Diceros bicornis minor: one gene and its partners. The protein of the gene in region 4 interacts with the protein of the main gene of each other region in a pairwise test. Links are inferred from orthologs where the notes say so. Each region holds a gene or a part of one and is shown on either strand. Other genes may lie near its edges. The genes, in order: TOP3B, SHFL, MORN4 and SSX2IP.

Region 1 (7,249 bases), on a different chromosome or scaffold from region 4:
CCATGCTCTGGCCAATTAAATTGGACAGCAGCGTCTAAAGAAAAAACACATTTTCAAGCCTCTGTTCCCTTTGCTTGGAATGTTTTGCCAAGCCTGGAGAATGCAGATCAACTGTCCGAAGGCCCAGCTCAAGTGCTAACTCTTCTTCAAAGAGCTCTCTCTACACCCGCCGGCGGGATGAATCCTTTCCTCCTGGCCGTTCCTTACAACCCTCTGCCCATCATGCCACGGTTGGTCACTGCCTCTTCTTCCTGCTGCACACGAGTGGCCTGATGTCTGAATCACTGTTGGCAATTCAACAGCTGGTTTCGAGCTTGACAGAGGACATTTAATACCCGCTGGCTGAGTGAAAGAAACATATGAACCCTTTCTGTCTTTCTGATTGTTGTAAGTATGGCACCGACATTGACAAACATAGCACTGTATAAGAAAAAGACTTGTATTGAGACAACCGGGCAACCTTATGGTAAGAAAAACAAAGTCAGACACCTATTTTATAACTTCCACCAAAACAGATTCCAATTTCTAGCAAAGATTTAAATAAAAAAATGAAACTAGAAAATATGAACTTTAGTATGAAAAAGACAAACACCTAAGTCCCTCAACATTCAGAGGCACACTTCACGTTTAAAAGCATTTGGCTTCCTTTTCTGTGAACTGTCTATTCATATTTTTACCCATTTTTGTCAACTTGATGGTTGTTATCTTATTTTTGGAGTGGTTTATATAATAAGGAAATTAGCCCTCTGTAATAGGAAATAATTCCAACAATACTCATCAAAGCAAGCTAGAGCTCGAGCGGTCTTGAGTTTCTCTCCCCAGCAAAGACCCATGTCTAGCACACGTGCGAATGACGGTGTAGGGACAGGGAACTCAAACGTGGGTGCCGCAAGTTCACCCAGAGCAAGCTCTACAGGCGCCACCGGGCAATACCTCACATCCCCGCACTCCCACTTCCAAGAAGGAGCTCAACAGATTCTTGTCTCAAGATCCCTTTCCAGAGAAACATTTTGCCCTAGCATCTTCAAAGGGATTACCTCATTTATCTAGGACTAGGGATACAACTGGACAGTGCACACAAAAGCACGTCAGCATCATGCCCAGCTTCAGATCACCTGTCCACTGCCAGGCTGTGCAGCGGCTAGTCCACATTTGATATGTGGCAAAACACACCTTCTAGTTCAACAGTTTATACTTCAGTTCTGCATGAGTACTTTGTAATTTCTAAGTATCACTGTTTTATTAGGAAAATAAATACCACTTCCTTTAAGGATACAGAATCAGGGAGTCCTGGGAAAGGGATCTTGGTGATGATCCGGTACAACCATCTCAAGGAAGAACAAACTAAGACTCAGAGAAAGGGATTTTCCAAAGGTAACCTAGGAAGTTTGCTGAGTTGGGGCTGAAACTCATGCTTCCTTACGTCCAGCCAGGCACACTGTTTTTAACTGCACCAGGTTCTACTTCTTAAAAGATTTCTGCAGTCGTAACTGTGATTAATCTTGAGGCCTCCCTATTTTTCCATTAAGGCACATCTGCAATTTCAAAATGGAAGCCAATGAGCAGGAAAGCTGAAAGCAATGGTGTGAGAACATTTATACACCATCTTACTGCTTTGCCTTACCAACATTATTATTTACTTCCGTTTTTGCTTTTTAAAAAAGCTTAAATATATAGAAAAGGGAAATTTTATAGCCTCATAGGAACTGAAAGCCTGTAATCAATGGCCAGAACTCGGTTCCTTCCGGTAACCCACATGACACATCAAGTTTGATCTTGCTGCCTGCCAAAGTGCTGAGCCTGACATCTGTCCTCTTACTTCAAAAAGGGAGATTAGCAAGTGCTAAGGGGATGTTGACAGCAAACACCCTAAATTGGGACTGTAATTAGGAGGGCTGAAAGTGAAAGGGAGCAGCAGGTAAGCCTGTTATTACCCTGTCAACTCTCACCAGCAAAACCACAACGGTAGGAGTCCTTCTGGGAGCCACTGCAGATCAAGTCCTTTCAAGTCAGCCCTCATGAACATGTGGACTCAGCTCCGGAGTGCAGGCCTGGCAGTGGGCCGACAGAAGTTACAGCCCTAGGATTTCCCACCTCAGAACTTGACCAGACACCTATGGAGTCAGGAAAAGAGGGGAAGAAACCACACCTTCTTAATTAAGGTCGTCTGTAGCGCTATAGCTCTAAACGCTACTCTACTGAATCCTGCCAACAAGCCCACAGGGCTGGCGGTGTCCTCATTTCTTCAACTAGGAGTAAACTGAGGTTTAGAACAATTCAGACTAGTGTCAGGTGACCTCTGCCAAGTCTCTAGGGACCCCCCCGGGGCTCACGGGCCATCAAGCCCTGGTTGGGCTGAATTTTCACCTCCTGTTCCCAACGGCTGAGCGACAAATAGGCAGGACGAGGCCATCATCTTTCTTTTCACCTCTGAGAAATGACTGCCCCTGGATTCTCGCTCGTCTGTTCACAAAAGTACCCTCTCACCCACATCAACAACTCAGAGAAACACGCCCGGGCGCCCTCGAGGCCGAGCCAGGGCTCCGGGGCGGCGTGGACCCTGCCTTGACCTGCGTGGACCGACCGCCTCCCTGAGCCTCAGTTTCCCCACCCGTGACAACAAATCCGGGCAACAGACCCCTCTCAATAACTGCGGGAGGTTCGATGAAGAAAAGTATTAACTGCAGCGCCTGCTCCCTCCAGGTGCCGGCCCATCGCCACCTCCTTGAACCCCCAAACCAGTCCCGGGGTTCGGGGGGGTCCACCCCGCCGGGGAAGAGGCGAGAATGCAAAGAGCCCGGCCCAGGACCCTCGCCCAAGCCGCGGGGCTGGCGGCCCCCGGTGCGTGGAAAACGCCCGCGCTCCCCACATCCCTGAGCCCGCCGCCCGCCGCTCACCCGCAGCCCCACCCCGGCTCCGGCTTCAGCTCCGCTCGCGGCGGCCGCCGGCAACTCTACTTCCGGGTCGGGCCGCTGCTGGCGTCCCCGCGTTTCCCCGCCGGTGCCCGCACACCTGCGTCCGCGGGTTCCGTGGCTGTCGCGTTCCGGGAGCACGCCCCGAGTTGGCCCTTGCCCACCGCATCTGCCGAGATCCCTAATCCCTCCACCCCATTCTTCCCCGCCCCGGAGGCAATAATGACAATCATCATTACAATGATGATGAAAACTAGATGATAAGCATGGAAACGTGTATGCTGTTAATAATTAAAATAATTAAAAACTACAGATGTGTGTATATTACTACTCAGCCGTAAAAAAGATGAAATCGTGCCATTTGCGACAACACGGTTGGACCTTGAGGGCATTATGCTAAGTGAAATAAGTCAGATGGAGAAAGCCAAATATGCATGATTTCCCTCCTATGTGGAAGATAAAACAACAACAACCACCACCACAACAGACAAACGCATAAACAGAGAGCAGACTGGTGGTTACAGGTGTGTGTGTGTGTGTGTGTGTGTGTGTGTGTCAAGGGGCACACACGTATGGTGACGCATGGAAACTAGACTTTTGGTGATGAACACGATGTAGTCCATACAGAAGTCGCAATATAATGTACCCCTGAAATTTATATAATGTTATAAACCAATGTTACCACAATAAAAAACCGAAAAACAAACCACAGATGTTTGTAGAGCAGGCTTCTTTCAATGCTACAAACATTTGTGGATGAATAAATAAACTGTAAAATATATCTGGAAGATGAATTGGAAAATAAAAGTAATCTTTTTTGTGTTAGAGCATTAAGATTATGGAAAGTTAAAAATAATTTTCATGACCTGATTTTAATATCTTTTAAATAACAGCGTACAAACGTTTCCTTTGCTCCCTGTAGATGCTGTTCCCAACTTGTCTTTATTGGAATACTAGCCCTGACAGATGTCTGGAAAAAGAAAAGTTCTATGGTCAAATTAAGGTTGGGAAATGCAGAAAATTAAGTTACAGTGAGATTTCCCTTTCAAAGCAGAACTCCTGATTCCCAGCCCACTCCTTGGCAGGTTCTCCATTGCTAAGACGGCAACTTCACCTTCCTGGCTGCTCAGGCCCAATGCCTTGAAGGCTTCCAGGATTCCTCTCTTTCTCTCACTTGGTATCCATCACTGTCTTCAAATCATATTTGAGATCCAATCAATCCTTCTGGCCTCAGCTGCCACCACACTGACCCAAGTCCCATCTCCCTCCTGGTCCCACCCTGAGCCCTACAGGCTGCTCTCCACACAGGCCCCGGCGGACAGCAGCCAGGACTAAGGTTGGATCTGAAGAGTATGTCCAGTTGGCAGAGAGGCAAGACCAGAGCCCCACTGCTTGTTTAATCCAGCTCTGGGGTTCATTCCACAGAGTAGGAAGGAGGACCTGAGGCCTGGGCCTGGCAGGGGAGCTGAATGGTCAGCTCTGGAAGCCTGCTTGTCTGAGTATTCTCCGCGGAGCTGGGAAACTGCAGCTGCTTGTGCTCCCCTGCTGCCTGGAGAGCCCCTTGGGGAGTCCTCCCCACAGACCTCCCAGGGAGCTGTGGGGCAGGCCATTCCGGGGACACTTATGTTGACAAATGACCCAGATTCAGAGGAACGCTTTGACTTCCTCACCGTTGGGAGGAACCCCTACACTCTCCTCACTTATGCACAGGCGCCTAGTTGTGGTGGATGGGACACCTGAGAGCTCCTGGGTCTCTTCTCTCTGGTGGGGCATAGGCTGGGCCATGGTCTTGCTAACACTGTAAATAGTTAACACCCACCCAGCGCTTACTCTGTTCTAGGCACTTTTCTATTATGAATACATTTAATTCTCATGACACTAGGAATTAGGTATTATTGTTATTATCCTTATTTTACACATAAGGAAACAGGTCACACAGATGTAAATGGCAGCGCCAGGTTTCACGACTAGGCAGCCAGGTTCCAGAAGTCAAGTTCTCACCCACTTGCCACAGGGCTTCTCACTCCTTCTCGTTCTCTATCTTTCCAGACTCCAGGGCCCAGTCTGTGCTGACTCAGCTGGCCTCTGTGCTGGGGTTCCCCGGGAGACATGGTCACAGTACGCTACACAGGAAGCAGCAGCAACATCAGGGGATATGCCCCAAACTGGTACCAGCATGTGCCAGGTCCCCAAAGTCTTCATCTACAAGAACAACAATCGGCCCTTAGGGATCTCAACTTGGTTCTTTGGCTGCAAGTTGGGCAACACAGCCTTCCCAACCATCGCCGGACTCCAGGTGGAAGACAAGGCTAGTTATTACTGTCACTCCTATGACACCACAGGTGAGCCTGCATGGTTCTGAGCTCCAGACCCCAGGGGGAGTGAGACTCAAACCTCCCGACTCCTGTAGCACACTGATGACATTGTCTGCTGGGTAAATTTTATTCTTCCCCCCCCCCCAAAGCCCCACTAGATAGTTGTATATCATAGCTGCACATCCTTCTAGTTGCTGTATGTGGGACGCGGCCTCAGCACGGCCGGAGAAGCGGTACATCGGTGCGCGCCCGGGATCCGAACCTGGGCCACCAGCAGCGGAGCACACGCACTTAACCACTAAGCCACGGGGCCGGCCGGTAAATTTTATTCTTTTTTCTCACTATGATGTTTTGTAAATCAATTCAGGCATTTTTGTGTTTCTTGTACTTACTTCTAATTTACGTCAGCTCCTTGTGCATCTCTGCCTTTGTGGCTGACTATGGTATGCTCCTTATACTTGGAAGTGAGTTTGGCTGGACCTAAAATCCTTGGCTCACATTTTCTTTCCTTGAGTATCTTAAATATGTCACTCCAATTTCTTCTGGTATAAAGTGTTGCTCTCAAAAAGTCTGGTAGTCTTATTTTCTTTCTCTTGTGAGTGATTTGTTTTTTTTTTTTTTGCCTGGATGCCCAAAGTATATTTCTTTTTCTTTTAAGTTTAGTAATTTTACTAGAACGCATCTTGGTGTCGGTCATTGTGATCAGTTTTCTCAGGTTCACAGTTTCCCTCTGAATATATGGTTTCAAACAATTTTTTTCTAATGTCAGGAAAGTTTTCTTGAATCTGTGTCTGTACTTGACTTGAGACTATTCTCTTGTTTTTCCTTTTCAGAAGCTCCTATTATATATGTGTCGGATTTTTTTTTTTTGGCCTATCTTCTAAACTTGTAACTGTTTCTCAAATTTGTTTTGTCTGTTTATTTATTTTATATGCTTGAAAGAGAGGAACAAGGTTGGGAGACTTACATGGCCTGATCTCACTCCTTCCTGTAAGACAGTCATCAGCCAGCATGGTGCTGGCGGAAGGAGACAGACAGAGACCAATGACGCGTGTGACAGAGCTCCCAGTCTGGGACAAGCATGTGTGTGTCAATTGATTTTTGACAGAGGCAGTGAGGCAATTCAACAGGAGAAAGGAAAATCCTTTTGATAAGTGGTGCTTGAAAGAAACAAACCTCAGCTCTTGCCTCACTCTCTGGCTTCCGCTGCTGTCCACTGGCCTGGCCTAGACTCCCCACAAGTAGGGAAAGTTAGTTCCTTAGGCTGCAGGCTCCTTAATGGAACTCAGAGTTTATTTCTCTACAACCAAGACATTGTCGTTCTTCTAGTTTCTCAGCCTTTGTTTTTCTTAAATCAGGAATCATACATGACAGCAACTTGCAAACTAAGGCTCCCCCAGATGATCAGAAAACTGAACCAAAAGTGCAAGTCTTTTCTTGACATCTCATGCACAATCCCATGGACTAAAAAAAGTTGGTGTAAAACTTATAGACAGTAAAGTGCTGTTGTCATGAACGTATGCTTGATGATCCATTCACCGGTAAACACCCATGCTACCACCACCCTGATCAAGACAAGGAATATTTCCCGCACTCCAGAAGGTCTTCTTGTTGCCCTGCCAGTCAGTACTCCCTTCTAAGCTCTTCTGTTAAGAGTTGAATTTGCCGGGTGCCCTGTGTGTGTGTGTGTGTGTGTGTGTGTGTGTGTGTGTGTGTGTGTATAGCATGCGTTCATGCTGGAGTCAGTGGGCAGCGCCTGTAATGTCTTCTCAGAAGCAGCAGGGGGCGGTCTGGGCATGTCCCTGAGAGATGCAGAGGGTGTTGCAACTGGGACATGAGCTCCTGGCTCCCTGATGCTCAGTGCTCTCAGGGGCCCGCAGCTGTCTTCCAGCCCCTGCCCAGGCCACCTTCACGGGACCATCTCCCAGGCAGAATGAGGGGAAGGTGGGCACAGCGCAGAGGAGGGAAGCTGGAGGAGGGGGTGCGGAATGGGAGGGACTGGGGGCTGGCTCATCTCTAGCT
Region 2 (7,132 bases), on a different chromosome or scaffold from region 4:
TGGACACTGTTGCCTGATATTGGCCACAGTGGGAATATTTACACCATGGAAATTGGCAAACGCTACACATCTGGGGTACCAGCTGGTTGTTGAGCATTCACCAGAAGCACACCACTGGCCAGGGGGCTCAGAAGCCAGATTTGGGGTTGAGGTTTGATTTCTGGGGTAGCTGTCAAACTGTGGGCTCAGGGGTCAGGCTCTGGGGTCCGAGACGACGTTGCGCTCTGAGCCTGGAGGTCAGGGGTTGGGCTCTCAGGGGCTGGTGTTCTCAGGTCAGGGGTTCAAACACTGAGGATGGGAGTCGGGAGTGGAGTTGGGGCAGAATCAAGGTCAAGGGTTGGGTCATCACCTCCTTCCGCTGGGGCACGCGGCGCCACCACACGTGGTCACAGGAGGAGCAGGCGAACTGGCGGTCCACGGCGGGGATGAGGTCTTCCTGGGCGCGCTGGAACATGCGTAGGTTGGCTTCTGTCAGCGGCAGGAGGGAGGTCGCCACCGCCTGCAGAATTGGGGGGGGGACCAGAGGGTGGTCTTTCACCAACATACACCTGTGTCGGCCCTCCCTTCCCTACAGACACGCCCCCTCCTGCTCCTGTGACATCCCCCCCCCCATGGCCTCCCCGGTCCACCTCCCCTGTCCCACACCCTGGACTCACCTGGATGTCCTGGTCCTGCTTCATGTCCTCTGGGGGGTCCTGGGTGGAGACACCATGGGCACAAACTGGGGATGTGGCTCAGGTCTCTTGTCATCTTTGTTGGGGGCGGGGCTCCTGGACGGGGGCGGGGGGGGGGGGGCAGGGTCTTGGCGGCGTAACAGTGAGGTGTTCCTAACTCACGAGGAGCTGGTTGAGCAGCACCCCCATATTGAGAGCCAGGTGCATGACCTCAGTTATCCTACAGCAGCCCTGAGAGATGGGCACACCTGTTCTCCTCATTGCTCAGATGGGGAAACTGAGGCCCGGAGCTGGGAGAGGGATTGCCTCAGATCCCCGAGTGAGCTGGGCAGAACAGGCCCAGACCCCCTTCCTGCCGGCGAACGCCACACACTCGTTGGCATTGTGACCGGCCGCCCCTCTGAGCCCATGCCGCCTGAGGCTAAGGCTCGGGCTCCGGCTTCAGACAGCGGCGGTTCCAATCCTGGCTTCATCATTTCCAGCTGTGGGGGCCAAGCCACTCCCCCTGGGTCCCTACGGAGGGGCATCCGGGGCCCAGGCTCAAACCCTAGGTGGCTGCGGTTCAAATCCCAGCTGCCGCCTGCGTGCTGTGTGAGCCTGGCGAGTGACTTCGTCACTCTGTGCCTCAGTTTCCTCATCTGTAAAACGGACACGATAAATAACAGGACCTGTCTCATGGGGTCGCTGTGGCGATGAAATCAATCAACAGGTAAAATTCCTGGCGTCCTGCCTCAAGGGAAGCGCTCAATCGATGCTACTCTTGGCTATTATACTCTTTATGCATAAATATAAATAGTACAATACTTTATGATACTATGTAACAACTCTGTGCTGGGCCTTTCAGGCAGAAATCCACATCCACCAGCCACCAAAGCCATTAAGGGGCAAAGTGGTCATGTTGCACCTGTGCCTCAAAGCCTTTCATTCATTCATTCATTCATTCATTCATTCATTCAACACATGGGCTTCTCTGCCCGTCTCTCCTCCTCCATCTCCTGCTCATCCCAGCCTGTTCGTGTGTTTCTTTGTTCAAGCCATTCCCTCTTCCAGGAAGACCCTTCCCGACCCCTCCCCTTCTCAAGGATCACTCCTGCCAGCCTTGAAGAGCCGGCACCACCTCCTTCAGGAAGCCTTCCCTGACTTCTACGACTCTTCTATGATGACATTAATCCTGATTCGTTTCACTGCCTCGTTTCACGTGTCTCTTCCTCATTTAATACAATCAACATGTAATGAGCGCCTACTGTTTGCAGGCTCCCTGGCCAGACACACGACTGAGAGGTGAATAAGTGGATGAGGTTAGACCACAAGTTGTGGACTGGTTGCGGCACAGAGGGGGCCACCACGGAGGGGCCGGGTCCCCTCTGTTCTTCCTCCCCCCGTCAGCCCGTCCTTTGAGGGGAGGGGGCATTTTACCTGGGTATCCAGGTCATTACTCAGTTCCTGTCCGTCTCTCTGCTTTACCCCTGGTGGGGAGAGTAAGTGTAGGTGAAGGGCCCTGGCGGGATCCTGTGGGAGTTTCAGGGCCCCCAGAGCCCCAATACAGACCCTCCCCAGAGATGATCTCATTGCTTCCTCCTACCATCAGCACAGACCACACTCCCTCCCCCACGTGGAAGTCCCCCTGCCCCAGGCCGGGACCCGCGCGCTCACCGTACACGATGGAGCGCCCCACTCCGGTGTGGTCGCTGCCAAATTTCCTCATCAGAGTCCCCGCCTTCCTGGAGGACACCTTCCCGTGAAACTTCTCCCGGAGGCGCCGGACGCTCTTCTCCAGCTGGGGTGTGGACAGGGGGGCTCCGATGGGGCAAGGAGAGGAGCGGCAGCCCCTCTGCCATCTCTAGGCATCCTTTTCCCGGCCTGAACTTGACCCTTGCTTTTGGCGTCCGCCCCCGCCCCCCTCCATCCCTCTACGGCATTTCCTGGAAAAAGCCAAAGTCTCCACAGGCCATTGCGGGAGGGAGTGGACTGGGGCGCGCGTCCCAGACTAAGGGAGGAGGCCGGCCAGGTAACCCCTGACTTCTGACCCTTAACCCTGCAGCCCCCGCTTTTCCTCGAGGAGGCCGCATTTCGCTCCGGGGGATGTGGCGGTCCCTCTCCTTTCCGATGGGGGCCAGCGCCAGCCCGCAGGAAGATCTGGGCTTCGGATGGAGTGCCCAGGAACTGCGAAGCCCTCTCGGCGCCCCGGCCCCTCCCCGGCGCCTCTCGCGGGCCCCCGGCCCAGCCGTAGCCGTGTCCTACCTCCACACCTTCCTGAGACATGGTGGCAGCGGCGCAGGTCCCCGCGAGGGTCCGCGCTGCGCGCTCAGCGGCCCGCTACCTGGGCGCGCCCGCCGGTCCAGCGGCCGCGCAGGGCAGGGGGCGGGGCCTCCGCCGGCTCCGCCCTTCCCTCCCGGCCCCTCTTTCGCTTTCGATTCCTGGGGGGCGACCGGGCGCGCTGGCTCCGCCCCGGCTCCGCCTCTGCTCTTGCGCCCCAAACCCAGGCGGGCGCCGGGGTCTGCACCCTGCGGCGGAGCGCGCAGACCTCGGGCGGGGGAGGCGGCGCGGCCTCTGCAGTCGGTCACATGTCCCCACGCTGCGCGGGGTCCGCGTCTTCACGTCCCTCCTGGGGGCGGGGCCGCATCGGAAGGCCGCGGCGAGGCTCCGGGCCCCCCAGGCTCGCGCTCCCCACGTTCATCGCCTTCTCCCCTCCCTTCCCCCCAGGACGCAGGCGCTGATGAGAACCTGGGCGCCTTCCTCACTCTGGATCTCTTACCCGGCCACGTCCCCTCCCTGAACCTTAGTTTACTCCTCCGTAAAATGGGGATGATGAGAGCGGCTACATCCTGGGGGGGGGGGGGTGTGTGCGCGCGCGCCAGGATTCGAGACCCCGGGTGGAGCACTTAGGAGCGCCTGGCATGCAGTAGGCACTCAACTAGTCTCTGGGCCGCCTACTATGTGCCAGTCCGAAGGGACAGGCAGTAGGGGGAAGGGGGAGGTGCTTGTTAAAAGTACCGATTCCTGGTCCCTAGCAGTCCTGCAGAATGCGGCTTCTCCGGCTTCCTGGGGATCTGCATTGCAAACCCGAAGGTTGAGAACCCCGTGGGCCAGGACGATTCTAACCCAGCACGGGAGCTGGAGGACAGAGCTAGGGGGCACTCTGGCCCAGCCTGAGGGCGTCAGCGATGGCTTCTTGGAGGAAATCCGAGGTCTTGGCTAGGTGAAGAACGGAGTGGAGGGAAGGAAACAGCACGTGCAGACCCCTCAGAATCAAGAAAGAGTCTGGCGCTTTAGGCCGGGACTTCTCAACCTGGCCTCTGTTGACATTTTGGGCTGGATAGTTCCTTGTGGTGGGGGCTGCCCGGGCCACTGTAGGGTGTGTAGCAGCATCCTTGGCCTCCACCTTCTAGATGCCAGTGGCACCCCTCCCCCAGTCGTGACAACTGAAAATGTCCCCAGACATTGCCAAATGTCCCCTGGGGGGCAAAATCGCATTAGGATAAATAACTCCAAAAATGTTGGAGCCCCACCCCCAGATGGATATTTATTTATAAATTACATACAAATACAGTTATACCAATAGATTCTGTAGATTGTTTTATAATAATATATTTCTTACATAATGATACTCCTTAGCACACACAAAAATGAAGGTTAAAAAGTATAGATGTGCTAATGTTTTCTACTAGAACCCCAAAGCTTTGTTTGTGGGGTCTATGCACCCCTCTCTGGAGCCCCCTCTATTAGCGCATGTGAAGAGTTCATGGTTCTTTGTGGCTGAAAGGTCGAATTTCAGGCAGGCACGGGGCCTGCAGGCTGCGCAGAGGCCCTGGGGTTTTATCCTGAGGGAAGTGAGGAGGCATGAAGGGGTTCCCTCATTATAGTTGTCAAATACTGCTTACCCAGTGGAGGCAGAGGTCACAGCTATGTCCCATCCCCTGGCCATGGTGGGCATCAAACAGATGAGAGGCCGATCTAGCCCTGACATGAATCAGATCTGCTAGATTCTCATAATAATGGCCACCATATGGAGTGCTTCCTCTGTGCCAGGCACTGTTCCGGGCATTGCAGACACAGCATCGAACAAAAAGATCCCTGCCCTTGTAGAGCTGGCATTCAAGTGGGTGAGACAGACAAGAAACAAATATATAATAGGACAGGAGATAATAAGTTCTAGGATGAAAAATAAACCGGAGTAGGGGGATGGATAAAGGGAGGGGGGTCAGGGAAGGCTGTAGGAAGTAACATGTGAGAGGAGACCTGAAGGGGGTGGAGGAAGAGAATTCCAGGCAGAGCAAACAGCAAGTGCAAAGGTCCTGAGGTAGGAGCAAGGGACTGTTGTCACCAGTTGTAGTAGTTCTCCCTTGCTGCCTAACACATTATCCCAAAACTTAGTGGCTTAAAACAATAAACGCTTGTTATCTCATAGTTTTTGCGGATCAGGAATCCAGGAGTGGCTTTGCTGGGCTGTCTTGGCTCAGAGTCTCCCTGCCTCAATTCTTCCCTACTCGGCTGCTCGAGTACATCCTCCCAACTTGGCAGTGGGCCTCCGCACAGCACGTGATCCAAGACAAGGAAAGCCAGGTGGAAGTCGTATCTTTTTATGACCCAGCCAAGGAAGTCACCCAGCGTCACTTCTGCCACCACATCCAGTATGTTAAAATCTAGTCAGTAGATCCAGCCCACGTTTAGGGAGAGAGAAGTAAAGACCCCGCTCCCCCCCCCCCCCGCCCCCTGTCCTCCCATCTCCTGCTGAAGCCTCATTGGCTGCACCAGAAGCCAAGGAGGGTAGGGGCACCGGTCATGCTGTCAGCCTCTCAGGGCACAGAGCAGGGGCAGAAGGGTGACAGTCTATCCAGAAGGACAAACAGACGATACAAGCCAAGTATTGAATTTTGGCATTTGTAGATAAACAGAAAAACAAACATTCCCAGCGACCAAAGGGGGACGCTGCCTGCCCACGGATGTACTGTTGACGTTTTGTGGCCACCTTGGCCTGGCCAGATGTGGCTTGTTTGTGCAGTGGGGTGAGCGTGACTGCATTTTATCCTTTGTCTTTATAAAAAGGTGTAGAGAGGGAGAAAATAGATGTGCAGGTAACAGTGATAAGAAGTGTAGACTTGGGCCGGCCCCGTGGCTTAGCGGTTAAGTGCGTGCGCTCCGCTACTGGAGGCCCGGGTTCGGATCCCGGGCGCGCACCGACGCACCGCTTCTCCAGCCGTGCTGAGGCGGCGTCCCACATACAGCAACTAGAAGGATGTGCAGCTGTGACATACAACTATCTACTGGGGCTTTGGGGGGGCAAAAAAAAGGAGGAGGATTGGCAATAGATGTTAGCTCAGAGCCGGTCTTCCTCAGCAAAAAGAGGAGGATTAGCACGGATGTTAGCTCAGGGCTGATCTTCCTCACACACACACAAAAAGAAGTGTAGCCTTTGACACTTTAGTATAATCGAGTCAAAGATGGAGCCCATTTGCTTCATCCATTTAGAGGCATCAAGTGCCTCCTTGGTGGCAAGTGTGGTGCTGGGCACCGTTTCTGCCCTTCTGGAGCTCATGGTCTTTTTTATTTTTATTTTATTTTATTTTATTTTTTGTGAGGAAGATCAGCCCTGTGCTGATATCTGCCAATCCTCCTCTTTTTGCTGAGGAAGACTGGCCCTGGGCTAACATCCGTGCCCATCTTCCTCCACTTTATATGGGACGCCTCCACAGCATGGCCTGACAAGTGGTGCATCGGTGCGCGCCCGGGATCCGAACTGGAGAATCCCGGGCCGGAGCAGCGGAACACACGCACTTAACCGCTCGCGCCGTGGGGCCCGCCCCCAGAGCTCATGGTCTTAATGAGAAAGAGACACATGAAGCAGATAATATCGCAAGTAATTATTTAACTACAAAAAAGAGAAATGGAGAGATCGGTGAGAAAGGACAACACGTGGGAACCTGACCTGGGCAGCGTAGTCAGGCGGGGCTTCCTGGAGGAGGTACCTCTTGAGCTGAAATCCTAACACTTTCTGAAACACTGTGCCAAGTGTTTGAAGCTGTGTATCTCAATTGATCCTCACAGCCACTCTACAAAGGGGGTAATATTATTACAAATGGGAAAACAGGTTCAAGAACCCGCTCAAGGTCCCTCCAAAGGGTGAATAGGAGTTACCTAGTTGAAGAGGTGCAGGGTAGAGGGAACAGCATGTGCAAAGGCCCTGAGGTGGGGAGGGGTTTTGTCCATGGTAGGAAGCTAAAGGCCAGCATGGCTGGGGTTTAGCAAGCAGAGGGTGAATGGAGGGAGTTGAAGCTTGTGCTCAAAGCAGCAAAATCTTGACCTTCAGCTGGACCCGTTGAGGCTTAAGCTGCGTAAGCATATATTTAATTGTGGAGGAAGTAGACACAATTGGAGCGTGTGTGTGCTTTTCGCAATCTAGTCAATTTCCCCCTCAGTTAACCAAAGGGAGAAATTTGGGAATGCCCAGAGGTGCGGGG
Region 3 (7,128 bases), on a different chromosome or scaffold from region 4:
CAGTTAACTAACATCCTCACTCAAAGCTTTGGAAGGAGTTATTGCAATTTGAGGAGTCAGACTGACTACACAGAGGCTCACGGGGAGCAGCCTCTTGTATCTGTTTACTTTTTCTCAAGGCTACTTGAAACTTCCAAATAGTGGCATCCCATCTTGTTTCAGAGGGACCAAAAGACGGTCCCTGAAGGAAGGGAAGAGTGTTTGTCCAGTCTGAGGATTATCTATGGACAAAGTACTAGCCAGCCCTCAAATTGTGAACCTAGCTACTCTTTTGGTATGATGTTAGCTCTTGGGGAATATACTCTAAATATTTCAAAGAAGTCAATGAAACTTGAAAGATTATCTTATTACCAAATGTGGCAAATAGCATTTTCCAAAGAATCTGACATTGCAATTGCCCCTTCAAAAGGTAGAGTCTCACACCTCTCCTTTGAATCTGGGCAGGCTTGTGATTGCTTTGACCAATAGAACACAACGGAAGCAATGGTATGTTGTGAGGTTGGATTATAAAAAGTGAGGCAACTTCCCTCTTGCTCCCTGGTAGGCTTGTGCTTGGAGACCTGAGCCACCACATGAGAAACCAGACTACCCTGAGGCTACCATGCTGCGAGGAAGCTGAGCCATGTTTGTTGGTGCTCCAGTTGGCATTCCTCATCACTGAATCATCCTAGCCCAGGCAAAGGAGCCCTCAGATGATTGCAGCCCCCAGGCATTGAGCCCGCATCCCATCTGCGGTATCATAGAGCAGAGAGAGGTCATTCCCATGATGCCCTGTCCAAATTCCTGACTCACAGAATCTGTGAGCATCATATGATTGTTTTAAGCAACTAAGTTTGGGGCTATTTGTCACACAGCAATAGTAACTGGAACATCCTCTCCCATTTGTTTTAAAAAGTACATGCTATAAATTTCCATTCCTTTTTGATCCAGGGAGACACAGCAAACTTCCTTCAACAGTTGCTTGTCAAAATGCTGTCCATTCCCAAGAACACAATCAGAACTGCTAATTAAAGGGAACACACATAGACTCCATGGGTCTCAGGCCATGGTTTAACACATTTGACTAGAAACTTTTACATGTGTCCAAATAACTGATACTGTCACTGCCTGGGACAGTGTCAGGATTTTCATATGACTTCTGTAGTTAGCCACGCTAATTAATAGTCAGCTGCATAGCCACTGACCCAAAAAGGAACTTCACCAGTAACCACGGTCACTGAGACAAATCTAATTCAATAAAGTATCGCCACAACTGATGAAGACTGAAAAACCCAATACTTTAATAAGGGATGCAAATCAGTATTTGTATCAGTTATTCAAAAAATCGTTTTAAAGAGAAGAGATAGCCTAGGAGTTTAGGCTTCAGATATACATATGGAATCTAGTTACAATACCAAGATGATTCACGCTTCTAAACAGATACCCACGCTTCCAACTCTCTTGATAGACGGGTTGCTAAGAATTAATCCAAATGTTTATCTAAAAGAAAATGATGATTTTGTCCCTGTAAACCAATATACTATTAGTCTGCACAACAGACTACATCCCTGCTTCTTATTTTTTCCTGCCCCAGACATTTCCAAGTAGAACTCGGAGACAGGAATGAGAACTTTTGTTTCTGTTCCATTTGTCTTTTTTTTAATTTCAGAAATCAAACTAGTTAAGAAATATTCATGCATTCACAGTAACCTGTGTCCAAATTCAGAGGGTTTTTGAAAAAAACTAACATAAAGGAGAATAGGTTTTCAACAGAATATTGTTTAGAGGCAGCCACCTTTATCCATATACATCTTCACATTGTCCCCCTAAAGCCACCCTCCCTAGGGTATGACAGTCTTGTCAAAGTTGTTCAGTTATAAAGAAAGCAGTTCTTATGATTTTCAATCCTAAAGAGAAGAAAGTGAAGGCTTTGATGAACCAAGATTAGGCTTGTAAGGAATCTAGAACAAAAAGTCAAATGTTCTTTTTCAGGGGTTTTAAATGAGCTTGAAACAACTGTATTATAAGTCTATAAGTCTCTTTTACTACTTCCTTCCACTCTAAAAGTAAACAAACGTATTGCTACTAGATAAACGTCTTATTTAGGAAGACTGTGAGATGGTTAGATTGAAGAAAGTGGGAAGGAAATCCTGACACCAGAAAGATTGTAAAAAAAGAAGAAAGAAAAAAGAAGGGAGGAAGGAAGGAAGGAAGGGAGGAAGGAAGGAAAGATGGAAGGAAGGAAGAGAAGGAAGAAAGAGAAGGAAAGAAGAAAGAGAAAAAAAGACTTGGAGGTGATGGGAACTGCCAGGATGCTATTCTATTTCACGGCAAAGGAAAATGCCTTGGCCGGTTCTAACGTAGCTGACTTACTCCTGCTGGTACCCAAGCAGTTTGCTGATGCTAGACTGCAGGGATGCCACCATCAATAATTGAGGCATTCCATTCCCCAAGCCTCGATGTGCGTGTGGGACGTCTCTCCACCACAGTGTGAGAGAGCCGGGCCCAGAGCAAACAAAGCCCTAGACGCAACAAGGCAACACTTCCCTGTCGACTCCCCATTCCTTCTCCCACCCGGTTCTTGCCTTCCAGCACCGCTCCTCCCCTCTACCGGGTCTTCTGCTCACACAGGTCTGCCATCCCCTCCTGACGCAGCCCCACCCACCCCGCTCGCTAACCCAAGTACCGTGGGCTCTCCCGGGCCTCAACCCCCGCGGTGGGGACGAGAGGCCCGGGTTTGCGACCCCTGGGGCAGCCGCCCTCCGGTCAGCGCGTCCAGGATGGAGCCGCGCTCCCCAGCCCGTCATCTCGGGCTGGGCTCCTCAGTCCCTTCTTCATCCGACCACACGCTCCCGGCCCACTCCCATCCGCGCTGCCAGCCAACCTGGGCTTGGCCTTTCAGGGTGACCGTCACGCCCCGACGCGGGGCTCCAGCCGCCCAGACCTCCGCTCCGTCGGTCTCGCCCCTGCCACCTGCCTCTCGGCCACCTCCACCAGCGCCTGCTCCGCTTGACGCCGCCATCCCGGGCAGCCGCACTGGGCACAATTCCCGCTGCCTATTGGCTGTTACCTAGGCAACCGGGAGCAACGCCACTCCCCATTGGCCCAGCCCGGGCTCTGCGCCATCTTTGTGCGGGGCGGAGTGTGTTGAGAGACGGGGCCAAACGTCCGACAGAGGGGTGGGGCTGAACCCCACCTCCGCCGCCCGGACAGAGAGAACTCAGCTGTCGCCTACCCAGAGACAGGCTAGCCGAAATGTCAACCCCAAACAAAACCAAGCCAAACCTGCGTCAGACGCAACAGTGACCACCTCGGGCGGCTCCGATCCTGCCCCGTCTCCACAGCTGTAAACGGTACCACCGCGGAGTTTAAGGACAGAACCGGAACCTGGCTTTTGAGGTGCAGCTTTGTACGTTGTAATACACTGGACGGGGCAACTGCAGTTTAATGAGTGTCACCCCGTGCCAGCTCTGTGATATGAGGACACTTTTGCATCCATTGTAAGGATTTGTCTTGTAGTTGTCATTACCCAGATCCTTTGTAGTTACAATACAGTGCCAAGATTGGAGAAAATCCTCCCAAATACCATGCACACCAATCCGTTTATCCATATGTTTATTTACTGAACAGTGTGAATGCAGTACGATGCTAGGTTCTGCCAGGCTGGAAAAGACATGATCACTGCCCTCATGGGACTTACTGCCTAAATGTGGAGAAGAAAAGATTCATGCACATGGAAAAATCCAAGACTATATTTCATTAGTAAGAGAAGGCAAGTGCGTGAAGAGAGTAAGCAAATTGCTTCTCTAAATTAGGATTTCCTCATCTGTAGGATAGAAATGATGATGATAATAATAATGATGATGATAAAGTCTCCTCAGGACTTGTCTGAGAATACAACGTAAGATGCTTGGTACTGTGTCTGAAACTATCAATAAATGGTAGTTTTAAATTGTTTTAAAAGACTTTGATTCGGTGTTCAAATCCCGTGTCTGCCACCAACTGTGTGTGGCTTCAAGCAAGTTATTAAGCACTTTAGCTTGTAAAATGAGATTGGACTAGGAGACCTATAAGATTCAATCTAGCTCTAACACTCAAAGGTTAAACACGCTAAACTCTGTGGTATTGACTATAGATATAATTGCAGTAGTTGAGAGAATGGAATATCCAGAAAACAAATCTTATAAGATTGGAGAATGTGTATTTAAAAATACGAAGAAGTAATGTTACATAGATTGTGGTCAAATTATGGAAAAACCTGAAAAATTAGGGAGAAGATATGGTTTGCAAAATCTAATTTCTTGAATAGGCAAATTAATAGACAGAAAGTAGAATACAGGTTACTAGGAGCTAGGGGAAGAGGGAGTTACTGTTTAATGGGTACAGAGTTTTTGTTGGGATGATGAAAAAGTTTTGGGTATAGATAGTGGTGATGGTTACACAAGATTGTGAATGTATTTAATGTTACTGAATTGTACACTTATGAATGGTTAAAATGATAAATATTATGTATATTTTACCACAATAAAAAATGTAGTTTCTTGATCAGAGCAGTGACACAATGAAATTAGTGTTTTAAGAAAATTAATCTGGCAGTGATACCCAGAGATAATCAGAGAGATATTGGAAGCAGAGAAACAAACTCAGAAACTATTGTAATCATGTAGCTAAGACATTCTGAGAGTCTCAAAACTAATGTGGCATCAGTGAAGATGGAAAGAAAGGGGGTAAAGATGAGACACATTTCACAGAGATATTTAATAAGAAGCAATATAGTGTTAAAAGCATGGAGCTAGTCTGCCTGGGTTTGGATCCAGCTCTGCCACTTACCAGCTGCATGACCATAGGCAAGTTACTTTACTCAGCTTCCAACGTCATAGGGGCTGTAATGCTGGTTACATGACTTACTCTATGTAATGCACTTAAAACAACGCCTGACACATGCTTAGCATTTGGTAAGGGCTAGCTTTTCATAGGTAACAGGGAATGCATTGACACTCTTTTTTTCAGTAAAAGGAAAACCAAGTTCCAAGAGGGAGATACAGAAATAAGTTCTGAGGGTTTTCCATACAGAAAACTCAGAATTCAAGAGAGAACTCTAAATCTTGGGGCTTTCCTTCACCATGATTTGAAGCTTAGGGAGTAAATGAGATGAATAATACCAAGAGATCATGTCGGTGGCTATGGCCCCTGGGACACAAGAAGCAAATATTACTTAATTATTTGATGCTGGATAGGAAGGGGAAATACACGTCTTGTAACTAAAAGGGGAAATTGAACCATCTATATGATCTTTGTCTAGAATGGTTTACCTGGCAAAAAAAGTTTAAGACGTTCCCATACATAGAATTAAACAATAGTTCTTTCAATTTAGTACTTCTAGTTAGCTGTGGCAATCATTTGATTCAAGAAAGACTGATTATGAAATATTGGTTACTATGTGGCTGGTCATCTTTTGTGAAAACTCACGCCTTTAGTCTGCTGGTTACTTTAAGCACAAAAGCAAAACCAGTATCAATCAAAAGCTCAGCAGTGATAAAAAGCTACCATTTGTTGAACGCTTTTTATGTACTAAGGGCTATGCTAAGTGCTCTACATACATAATGTATGTAGTAAATGTAGAATTTAATGTATTAAATTCTTATTTAATCCATTGAGGAAGTGATGATTATTTCCATTTTATAGATGATGAAACTGAAGCTTAGAGAGTTAACTCATACAAAACAATAAGTGTGGAGCGGGGTTCAAACTTAAATGTCTCTGATTCCCTCTTTTCTCCCCCTTTTTCCCCAGTGATCTAATTATATTCTTCCTTTAAGACTTAGCTCATAGCACATGCCCCACTTAAGGCCTTTGCTGACTTTCCGGCCTACCCCCAAATTACTAAACTCCTCTTGTGGAGGTTTCAGCTCTCATTGTTGGCTCTTTTTCTCCTACTGCCTCACAGAGCTGTGTGTCTTCAGCTTGAGGGCAGGAACTATATCTTCCTTCTCTTTGCTGCTAATAAAAATGTATTGAGCACCTACTGTGTCTAGACACTGAGGTTTCACAGTGATGAATAAAACAATCATGGACTCTTACCTCTTGGTATTTTTAGTCTAATGGGACCATATCGTTCTTCAATTAACAAATAAGCATTGGGCCAGGCACTGTGTAAGTTGCACCAGGGCTGGAGTTTTTTAAAACTTTTTTATTTAGTTAGTGTTAAAAACAAGACAACAGGCCCCAAATGGAGTCAGTTATGCTAAGCCCCATGTCATGAAGCAGAGACTTAATACTTAACTGACTGGAATCTTAACCCAGTCAGTCTGGAATTACCTGGTCAGCACTAGTGAGGTAATCTGCCTGATAGACCCCTGCCATCCCTAAAGGAAGGTGACTTGGCCACAACCAACCCACTCTTTGCTAGTATAACTTCCTTGTCTGGCTCCCTTCTGCCTTTAAAAGCCTTCCATTTTGTACAGCTCCTCAGAGCTCCTTTCTGTCTGCTAGATGGGATGCTGCCCCATTCATGAGTCACTGAATAAAGCCAATACGATCTTTCAAATTTACTCAGTCGAATTTTGTTTTTTAACAGCATGGATTTTATTTCTTTGCTTCACTTCTGTCTCCCCAGCACTTAGAACGTAGTAGGTGCTCAATAAATATTTAATGAATGAGTGCCTGATTGAATGAATGCAGATACAAAGATTAGATTTCTCCAGTCCCACAGCTGGGTCATAGTAGGCACTCAATAAAGGAATGACTGATTAAGTAGGCTACTTTACTGAAGGCTCCCGAACACCCGTCAGCAATTGGAAGCTAAGGGCGGGGCGGGGCTGGTAAAAGCAGAGGGCGTGTCTGACCCGGGTTTGGCTCCTAGAGCATGCGCAGTCTTCACAGAAGGTGACGGGCGAAAAATGCGGAGGGCGCTATTGCGTAGGCGCTAGTTCCGATTGGCTGCCGTTCGCGCTCAAGGGGTCGTGCCTACTCGTCGCCAAGTAAACATGAGCGGTAGGGGCGGGGCCAAAACGGCGCCGCGACCTGGTTGGCCAGGCGGGGGCTGGGGGCGTCGCGGATTGGTCCCGGCCGCGAGCTCAGCTGTGCGGGGTGCCCCGGGTCCCGGAGCCCGCGGCCTGAGGGATGGACGAGACGAGCCCACTTGTGTCC
Region 4 (6,828 bases):
TTTAGAACTCCTTTTTGAAATTATGTTCAGAGTCAGTTTACTGTCTTAGAAAATCACACACATCTTGTTTTTTGACCTTTCCCTATCCACCCAAATGCAGTAACTTAGTTGGAAAACACAGCTTTGGCATTTTAACATGGCTCCAGAATGTGTTCATCAGATTTGGCTCTGAATAACTTTTGTACTGTTCCAAAAATCAGATTTATTATCAAAGAAAGAATTCTTTTCAACAAATTCAGTGCCTACTGGTGTGATACCTTTTGAGCAGCATCATTTGAATATGCATACAGCCTGCCAAAGTGACTACTTTGAAATGACATTCATGTGAAGTTATGTTCATTTATTCACTAACTAATTATTGAGCACTAACCACTAAATCCCAGGCACTGTGTTAGGCACTGGGGACACATCAGTGAACAAGCAGACAAAATCTCTGTTCCTGCTGGCTTACATTCTAGCAAAGGGAGAAGGACCAAACAAACAAACAAAATGAGTAAACTCTATATTATGGTTAAAGATTATATAAAAGCAAGGTAAGAGAGATTTGGAAAGCTGGAGGGGGTTCCAATTTTAAACACATGTAATGTTGTCAGGTTGGGCCTCACAAAGAAGATGACTGGGTAGACTTGAAAGAGGAGAGATAAGTAATATAGATGTTAAGGGGAAGAACATTCAAACAGAGGGAATAGCTAGTGCAAATGCCCTGAGGCAGGAATGTGCCTAGCAAGGTTGAAGAACAATGAGGTGGCTAGTAGTTGAGTAAGGGAGAGAGTTGTAGTACATGAGGTAAGGAGATAGAGGGCAAGTCATAAGAACTTTGCAGCCATGGAAAGAATTTTGGCTTTAACATTGAGTGAGGGGAGCCAAAGCAGAGAAGTGGCATGATCTGAATTGTATTTTAAAAGAATTACTTTGACCACTGTGATAAAACTAGACTATAGAGGAACAAGGGTGGAAATTTTGATGCATTCTGGAAGACAACACCACTTGATAGTCACATCCCCTTAATTTTGCTTAAAGAAGCAAAAGCAGGCAAAGCAAAGCATTTAAAAGAAAAATTCCAGATTACATCTTTACCCTTTATCTTTCCTTACCATAGTTCTATCAAGCCCAATTCCTCTAGCCCTGGGCTAAAAGTGTCCTTAGACTATTTTTAGGCTGCAGCCAAATTCTTTACCTGTCCTGTATATCAGTCAGGATCTCCTTAGCTGCCAGTAACTGAACACCTGACCCACAATGGCTTAAGCAATCAGTCATTTGCGCTCTCCCACCTGAGCAGTCTGGAGGTATGCAAAGCCAGGGTAGGGTAATTTAGCCATTCAGTGACGTCTGGGTTCCGGATTGCCTTTCCCGTATTGCTTTTCCCGCTTTCCTCTCATTGATGCAGGATGTGCCACCACAGCTCCAAACATGTCTTGCTCCCTGGAGGATGGCCAAGGCGAGAAGTAAGGAAAAGACTTCTTATGGGCTCTCAGGGACAAAACCCTCCCCCTGAAATCCCCTACCCTCTACTTCCCAATATGTACTCACCAGTATTAGGTTACAAGCTCAGCTCCTAAACCAGTCATTGACAAGGGGGACACAGTACCAAGACAGGTGCAGACCAGTGGTTCTCAAAGTGTAATCTGAGGAAGCCTGGGAGGGGGATCCCCAAGACCCTTTCAGGGAGTCTGCAAAGTCAAAACTATTTTATTATAATATTAAAATGTTATTTGCCTTTTTTACTCCCATTCTCTTATGTTTTCCAAAGGCTACCTGAAATAGTGCAACACATTGAATGCAGCAGATATGAAAACCAAATTGCCTTTCATTAAGCCACACATTAAAGACAATTGCAAATTTTTAAAGTAATACCACTCTTTCTACCTTTTTTTGGAACATATTTTCCATAAAAATGTGCTATTTATGTTGACAATTTTTATTCTTTATTATTTTTTTAAATAACAAATATTTTTAAATTTCTCAGTTTTAATTTCTAGTATGGTAAATGTCAACAGAAATAACCCACATAAACAAAAGCTCTTTGGGGCCCTCAATAATTTTGGGGAGTGGAAAGAGGGTCCCCAGAGCAAAAGATTGAAAACTGCTGGTTTATTCAGACAGATGTGATTCACCCTTGGAGCTGGGGGCGGGGCCGAACTCTCCGGAGCTCACTTCAGCCCGACCCAAACCTTCTTCAAATCAGACTGTTAGCGTTAGATCGCAACAGGGTGTGCCAGACGCTGCTTACTGAATTGACTGATCTCAACTCTTCTAGCTAATCGGAGAGCGAGCTCTCCCTTTTTGACTGTGAGGAGGTGAAATGGTCAAAAAAAAAAGAAGCCTTAAGTGTTCTTTCAAAGAAAAACTCATGTTAAGTTGCTTCTTAAGATGGAAAGGGGTGTGGGATATTTGCTATGAAATTTCAAAGGCCCTCTCGGGAGCTGGGGTAACCCCCTCCCCCCATCAGCAGTCTGGGTTAGGGAGAAAAGTAATCATTGCAATAATTGGTTTCTTCCTCCCTACCAGCCCTGCACTAATAGCGTCCTTATAATGATGGGCCCTAACGGCTTGTTTGGCTGTCATTCACCTATGCTTGACGGCGTCTGGCCGGCCTCCTAATCGCTTAGGCCAAAGGCAATGAGGAGGATTTCGTTGGACTCCGAAGTTGTCACCATGGCGGGCTCATTTTCTCTCCTTGCTCTTTCATCCAGGACTGGGGATACGTGCGTGTAAATCGGGAAGGGAGCACTCCTTCCTCTCTCGCTCTTCAGAGTTAATATTTCTCATTCTCATCTCATACTATTTTAGTTTCATAGTGCTCTCAGGAGCCTCCTTAAGATACTAAACCTGTTTTTCCCCTCTTGAGTAACTCTCTTGGCTTCACTTAAAAAAAAAATCCATCAAAGTACATCTTTGTGTTTATAACTCAACTCATATGCCTGCCATTTCTCCATCTGATCTCTTTCCTTCCTCCGGCCTCTTTTCTTCCCTGGAGAATTTCAGGCTGACATGGAGCAGGGGAGGAGCCGGCCTGACCCTGGCCACGGGTGCAGGCTTACCGTTTCTTTGCACATATTTTGCTGGGTGGGTGTAGGGCATTTTTGCATAAACCTCTGGTTCACGAGTGCCATTTCTTAGTCTTCCCGCTGTCTGCTGCCCAGGTCCGTTTCTTTCCCCTAATTTAACAGGTAACTTTCTCCCGGTTGGGTTGTTTGCCTCCACGATTCCCGACACCTGAACCTCCCTTCCCCTGGGCCTGACCTAATTCTGGGTGCCGGCTGCTATTTGGTTTATTTCTCCACTTTTCCAAGTGCACTTGGCTCTTCTAGGCGCTTCCCTTTTGCTCCTATGGGTGGGCACTGGGGTTCACCGCGGCTCGGAACACGTGCTTTAAAGCAGCCACGACCCCCTTCCCCCACGGAGCCCTGGGCCCCGAGCTGGGCAGGCTGAGGAGGGGGCGGGGAGCAGGCCCCGGCCGGGTGAATCACAGGGCGTAACAGGTGCCGCAGCCGCAGCTGCGCCCGCATCCCGCTCGGGCTCTGGGGATAAGGTTTTCTTTTTCTCTGGGCTTTTTTGGAGGCGAGGAGGAGGCTCCGGGCCCCCACCGGACCAATGCAGGCCGCGGTTGTTCATCGCCTAGCAACTGGCCGAGCCAATGGGAGGCGGCCGGGCCGGCGGCGCCGGCGGGCGGGGGCGGGGTGGGAACCTAGCGAACCTGCCGCTGCGGGGAGGCGGCGGCGAGGGGCGGAGCGGAGCCCGGCGCGGGGCGGCGAAGGCGGGCGCCGGAGGCGGAGGCGGGGCCGGCGGCCCGGGGCGCTGTGTGCCGGCGCTCCTGTGCGGGCCCTCGGGGCTGCGCTAGCGGGGCTAGGAGCTGAGCGGTGCCTCCCCGCCGCTCGCGGGGGCCGTGACGGTGAGAGCCTCGGCCCGCGGCGGGGATTGTGACGCGCCCGCCCGGGGAGGGGCGACGGCGCCGGGGGTGCCGAGGGCAGGCGGCCGGGGGGCGGGAGAGCGGGCGCGGAGGTGCGCGCCGGCACCTGGCTCGGCGCCCCGCTTCGCTGCCGGAAGCTCGGCGTGGCCGTTGGGGCGGTTGGAGGAGGCGGGCGAGCGTTGACCCCGGTCCCGCCCGGAGGAGGAGGGGGGAGGTAGGTGTCAGCTCGGGGACCGCTCCTGCCCGCCGTCGCAGCGCTGCGCCCACGGCAGGGCTCTCGCCCGGGGAGCCCCAAACCCTTCCGGGGATGGAGAGAGGGTGGCGCCTGGCGTGGGATGACGAGCAACGCGGGGACGTGGAGGGGGAGGAGGGGATGGCGGATTTGGGGCTGCGGTGCCTCTTTAGCAGAGGCTGCGGGCATGCGGGCTTCGGGGTTTGTTAGCGCGAGCCGCAGGAGGCAGTCGTTAGAATGAGTTCCCGGGTGGCCCGTGGCCGCTGCAGGGGAAGAGGACCCTGATAGTGGTCTAGTAACGAGTCTAGGGCAAGAACTTACCCCATCCAAGAGGCAGGCGTGTGTGAGGATATTTTGGTGCAGAATGTTATAATCAAGTACGGTAAACCGAAGTGTGAGCTCTCTGCCGGCTTTTGAGCCTATGCTGATCGCCCAGTTATACAAGTCACTTGGGTCCAGGAAATGGAATCTGCTAAATAATTTCAGCATGTGTATGGAATCTGCTAAATAATCTCAGCATGTGTAATATGGGAATCTTTAGCTTATTACTCCATTTCAAGGTCCATAGTTATGATTGCCAAATTGTCATTACTTGCAGCGCTGATAAAGTTCTTGATGAATCTGAGAGAATTGAGATTTCCCTTTTCTGGGCCCCATAAATGGATGAGGATTAGAACAGTCACTCCTCCGAGGGTGATTCAGAAGTGTAAGAGAAGGGCCTCCTGGACTTAGAAATTGCTGGGCTCCCCTAACAATTCAGCTTAGAGTCTAGGTCTCGAGTTGGCTGTGAGTGATGGGTGCCTTGGAACCCTTTATGCCTCAGGAGGGATTGGTTTACTGTTCAGGTAGAAGAACATTCTGGCAGCCTTGATCCTAAACTGGAAAGGTAGATATGACTTGACACGTTTAGGTGACTGAATAGAATTTGAAAAGACTTAGAGATCTGGAGAGAGAAAAAATGCCCTAGAGTTGAAGTCTAACTCAAGCTGTCTTGAAATTTAGAAGAAGTTAGAGGTAGATTTATGAATTTGGATTCAGTCAGCAAAACAGTCCGTCAGATCTCCTATCCTAGAGCTGTCATAACCTACACGCCTAGGAAGCTTAGGTTATTCATTCAGATTTAACAAGTAAAAGCTAATAACTAATTTGACACGGTTCTGCCTGCTGTCAATGAAATTTTCTCAAACAAAATGGTTTTTTGAAAAGAGGATTAGGAACTGATAGTTCAAATGAAGGCTCTTTGAGTGACTTGCTGGGCCTCTTGAGCTAAGTCATTTTACACCCTTCTTCCCTTCTCTTTCCCCATCTGTACAATGAAGATAATAAAGCCCCAGGATTAAGTAACAAGGGAAGCAGCTTGAAGATAAGTGCAAAGACTTAGTTATTCTAGGATGAAATGTGAAGATTTCCTCATAACACATTGCGCCTGTGACGAGACTTGTTAAAGCACATTGCGTTCCAAGCACGCTGAGGCCGTATATGAGAAAATGAAAATGTTAACTGTTCCGATGATTTGCCAAAGGTCTCAAGGCGAGCACAAAGTCAGAGTATGTTCTTGGAGTCTCCAAAAACTTGACATAGCTGATCTTTGACAAGCTGGCAATGACACAGGTTTTGATAAAAGCAGACAGATGAGTGCCTTCTATGGAGTATGCACTTAGAGATGAAATGATACTGAATGATGAGAAAGACACTGCCCCAGAATTGTGTGATTTTAATTCATTTCACATGCTTAAATTGGTGCAATTTCAAAGCTTTTTAAGTGATAGTTTTCCATGTGTTTTATAATAGTTGTGAATATGCCTTATTGGTCTGACTGTTTGCTCAGGACACAAGGGATTTTGATACTCTGTCTTTGCTGATGCTGATCATGATTAATTGGCAATGACGGTACAAGTTATCTTGAATTCACAAGTTTATGGGATGGGATAGAATAGAGAAGCGCACCATTCATTGTTGGTAATGGAAAACAACCTAAAATCTTTACTTTTGAGAGTGAGTCAGTATTGTATGGTACCAGCAGAGTATTGAATTATGCTTTAATAATTTATTTTTTCAATAAACATTTATTACACACTAAGCTGCTACTTGTCAGACCTGAGGATTAAAAAGATGAATCTTGCCTTGAGTTTTTTTAGGAAACTTACGGTGTAGTCAGGGAGAGAGCAAAAATAGAAAATAAAAATTGCAAATAAGAGAAGGCTTTAGAAAAGAGAATTTCAGCTGTGTCTTGACAGAGGAGAAGGAGTTTACCTGATGAACACATATTAGCATGTTCTGCAGCAGTATACCATTGGGGAAGTACAGGTGGTTTGGTTGGTGGAGCCAGGTGGCCTGGGTTAGTGATAAGGTTGGTGAACAGGGCTATGACCTTTGACCAGTAGGTGAAAGGGAACCTTTAAAAGGTTTTATCCAGCAGAATTACATTTGATTTTTACTTGAGAAGGGTATTTCCACTCAAATCAGTAAGTTGGGTGATCTGAAAGTGTTCTTAACATAGACCATCCAAATAATAGCAGAGAGACAACAACCCTACACAGCAATTAAAGACTTGAAAAATATTTTATTGAAGCCCCCAGAGACCTTACAAGAGCAGAAATGATTATTCATGCAACAAACCTTTATGGAGTATTTTCTACTTTTAGGATTAGAGGAATAGGGATACAGAGAGAAATAAGATACAGCT

What was found.
Region 1: the proteins of SSX2IP (region 4) and TOP3B interact in binary tests that used the Homo sapiens proteins (3 or more experiments, as listed by UniProt). The two-hybrid records come from large-scale screens. The link is inferred for Diceros bicornis minor from reciprocal best matches to the Homo sapiens genes SSX2IP and TOP3B.
Region 2: the proteins of SSX2IP (region 4) and SHFL interact in binary tests that used the Homo sapiens proteins (3 or more experiments, as listed by UniProt). The two-hybrid records come from large-scale screens. The link is inferred for Diceros bicornis minor from reciprocal best matches to the Homo sapiens genes SSX2IP and SHFL.
Region 3: the proteins of SSX2IP (region 4) and MORN4 interact in binary tests that used the Homo sapiens proteins (3 or more experiments, as listed by UniProt). The two-hybrid records come from large-scale screens. The link is inferred for Diceros bicornis minor from reciprocal best matches to the Homo sapiens genes SSX2IP and MORN4.

Annotation. Positions count from the first base shown.
Region 1 is NC_080774.1:30,422,606-30,429,854, forward strand, and holds the start of TOP3B (DNA topoisomerase 3-beta-1), read right to left. Parts: upstream 3,019-7,249; 5' UTR 2,898-3,018; intron 2,115-2,897; exon of another isoform or gene 1,935-2,114; intron 1-1,934. UniProt on the Homo sapiens protein: Releases the supercoiling and torsional tension of DNA introduced during the DNA replication and transcription by transiently cleaving and rejoining one strand of the DNA duplex.
Region 2 is NC_080769.1:9,028,785-9,035,916, forward strand, and holds the start of SHFL (shiftless antiviral inhibitor of ribosomal frameshifting protein), read right to left. Parts: upstream 3,009-7,132; 5' UTR 2,937-3,008; coding exon 2,916-2,936; intron 2,452-2,915; coding exon 2,328-2,451; intron 2,141-2,327; coding exon 2,091-2,140; intron 696-2,090; coding exon 657-695; intron 500-656; coding exon 350-499; intron 1-349.
Region 3 is NC_080745.1:63,377,944-63,385,071, forward strand, and holds the start of MORN4 (MORN repeat-containing protein 4), read right to left. Parts: upstream 3,002-7,128; 5' UTR 2,864-3,001; intron 1-2,863. Other genes in the region: PI4K2A (phosphatidylinositol 4-kinase type 2-alpha), read left to right, coding at 7,102-7,128. UniProt on the Homo sapiens protein: Plays a role in promoting axonal degeneration following neuronal injury by toxic insult or trauma.
Region 4 is NC_080743.1:21,177,550-21,184,377, reverse strand, and holds the start of SSX2IP (afadin- and alpha-actinin-binding protein), read left to right. Parts: upstream 1-3,809; 5' UTR 3,810-3,892; intron 3,893-3,946; exon of another isoform or gene 3,947-4,124; intron 4,125-6,828. UniProt on the Homo sapiens protein: Belongs to an adhesion system, which plays a role in the organization of homotypic, interneuronal and heterotypic cell-cell adherens junctions (AJs).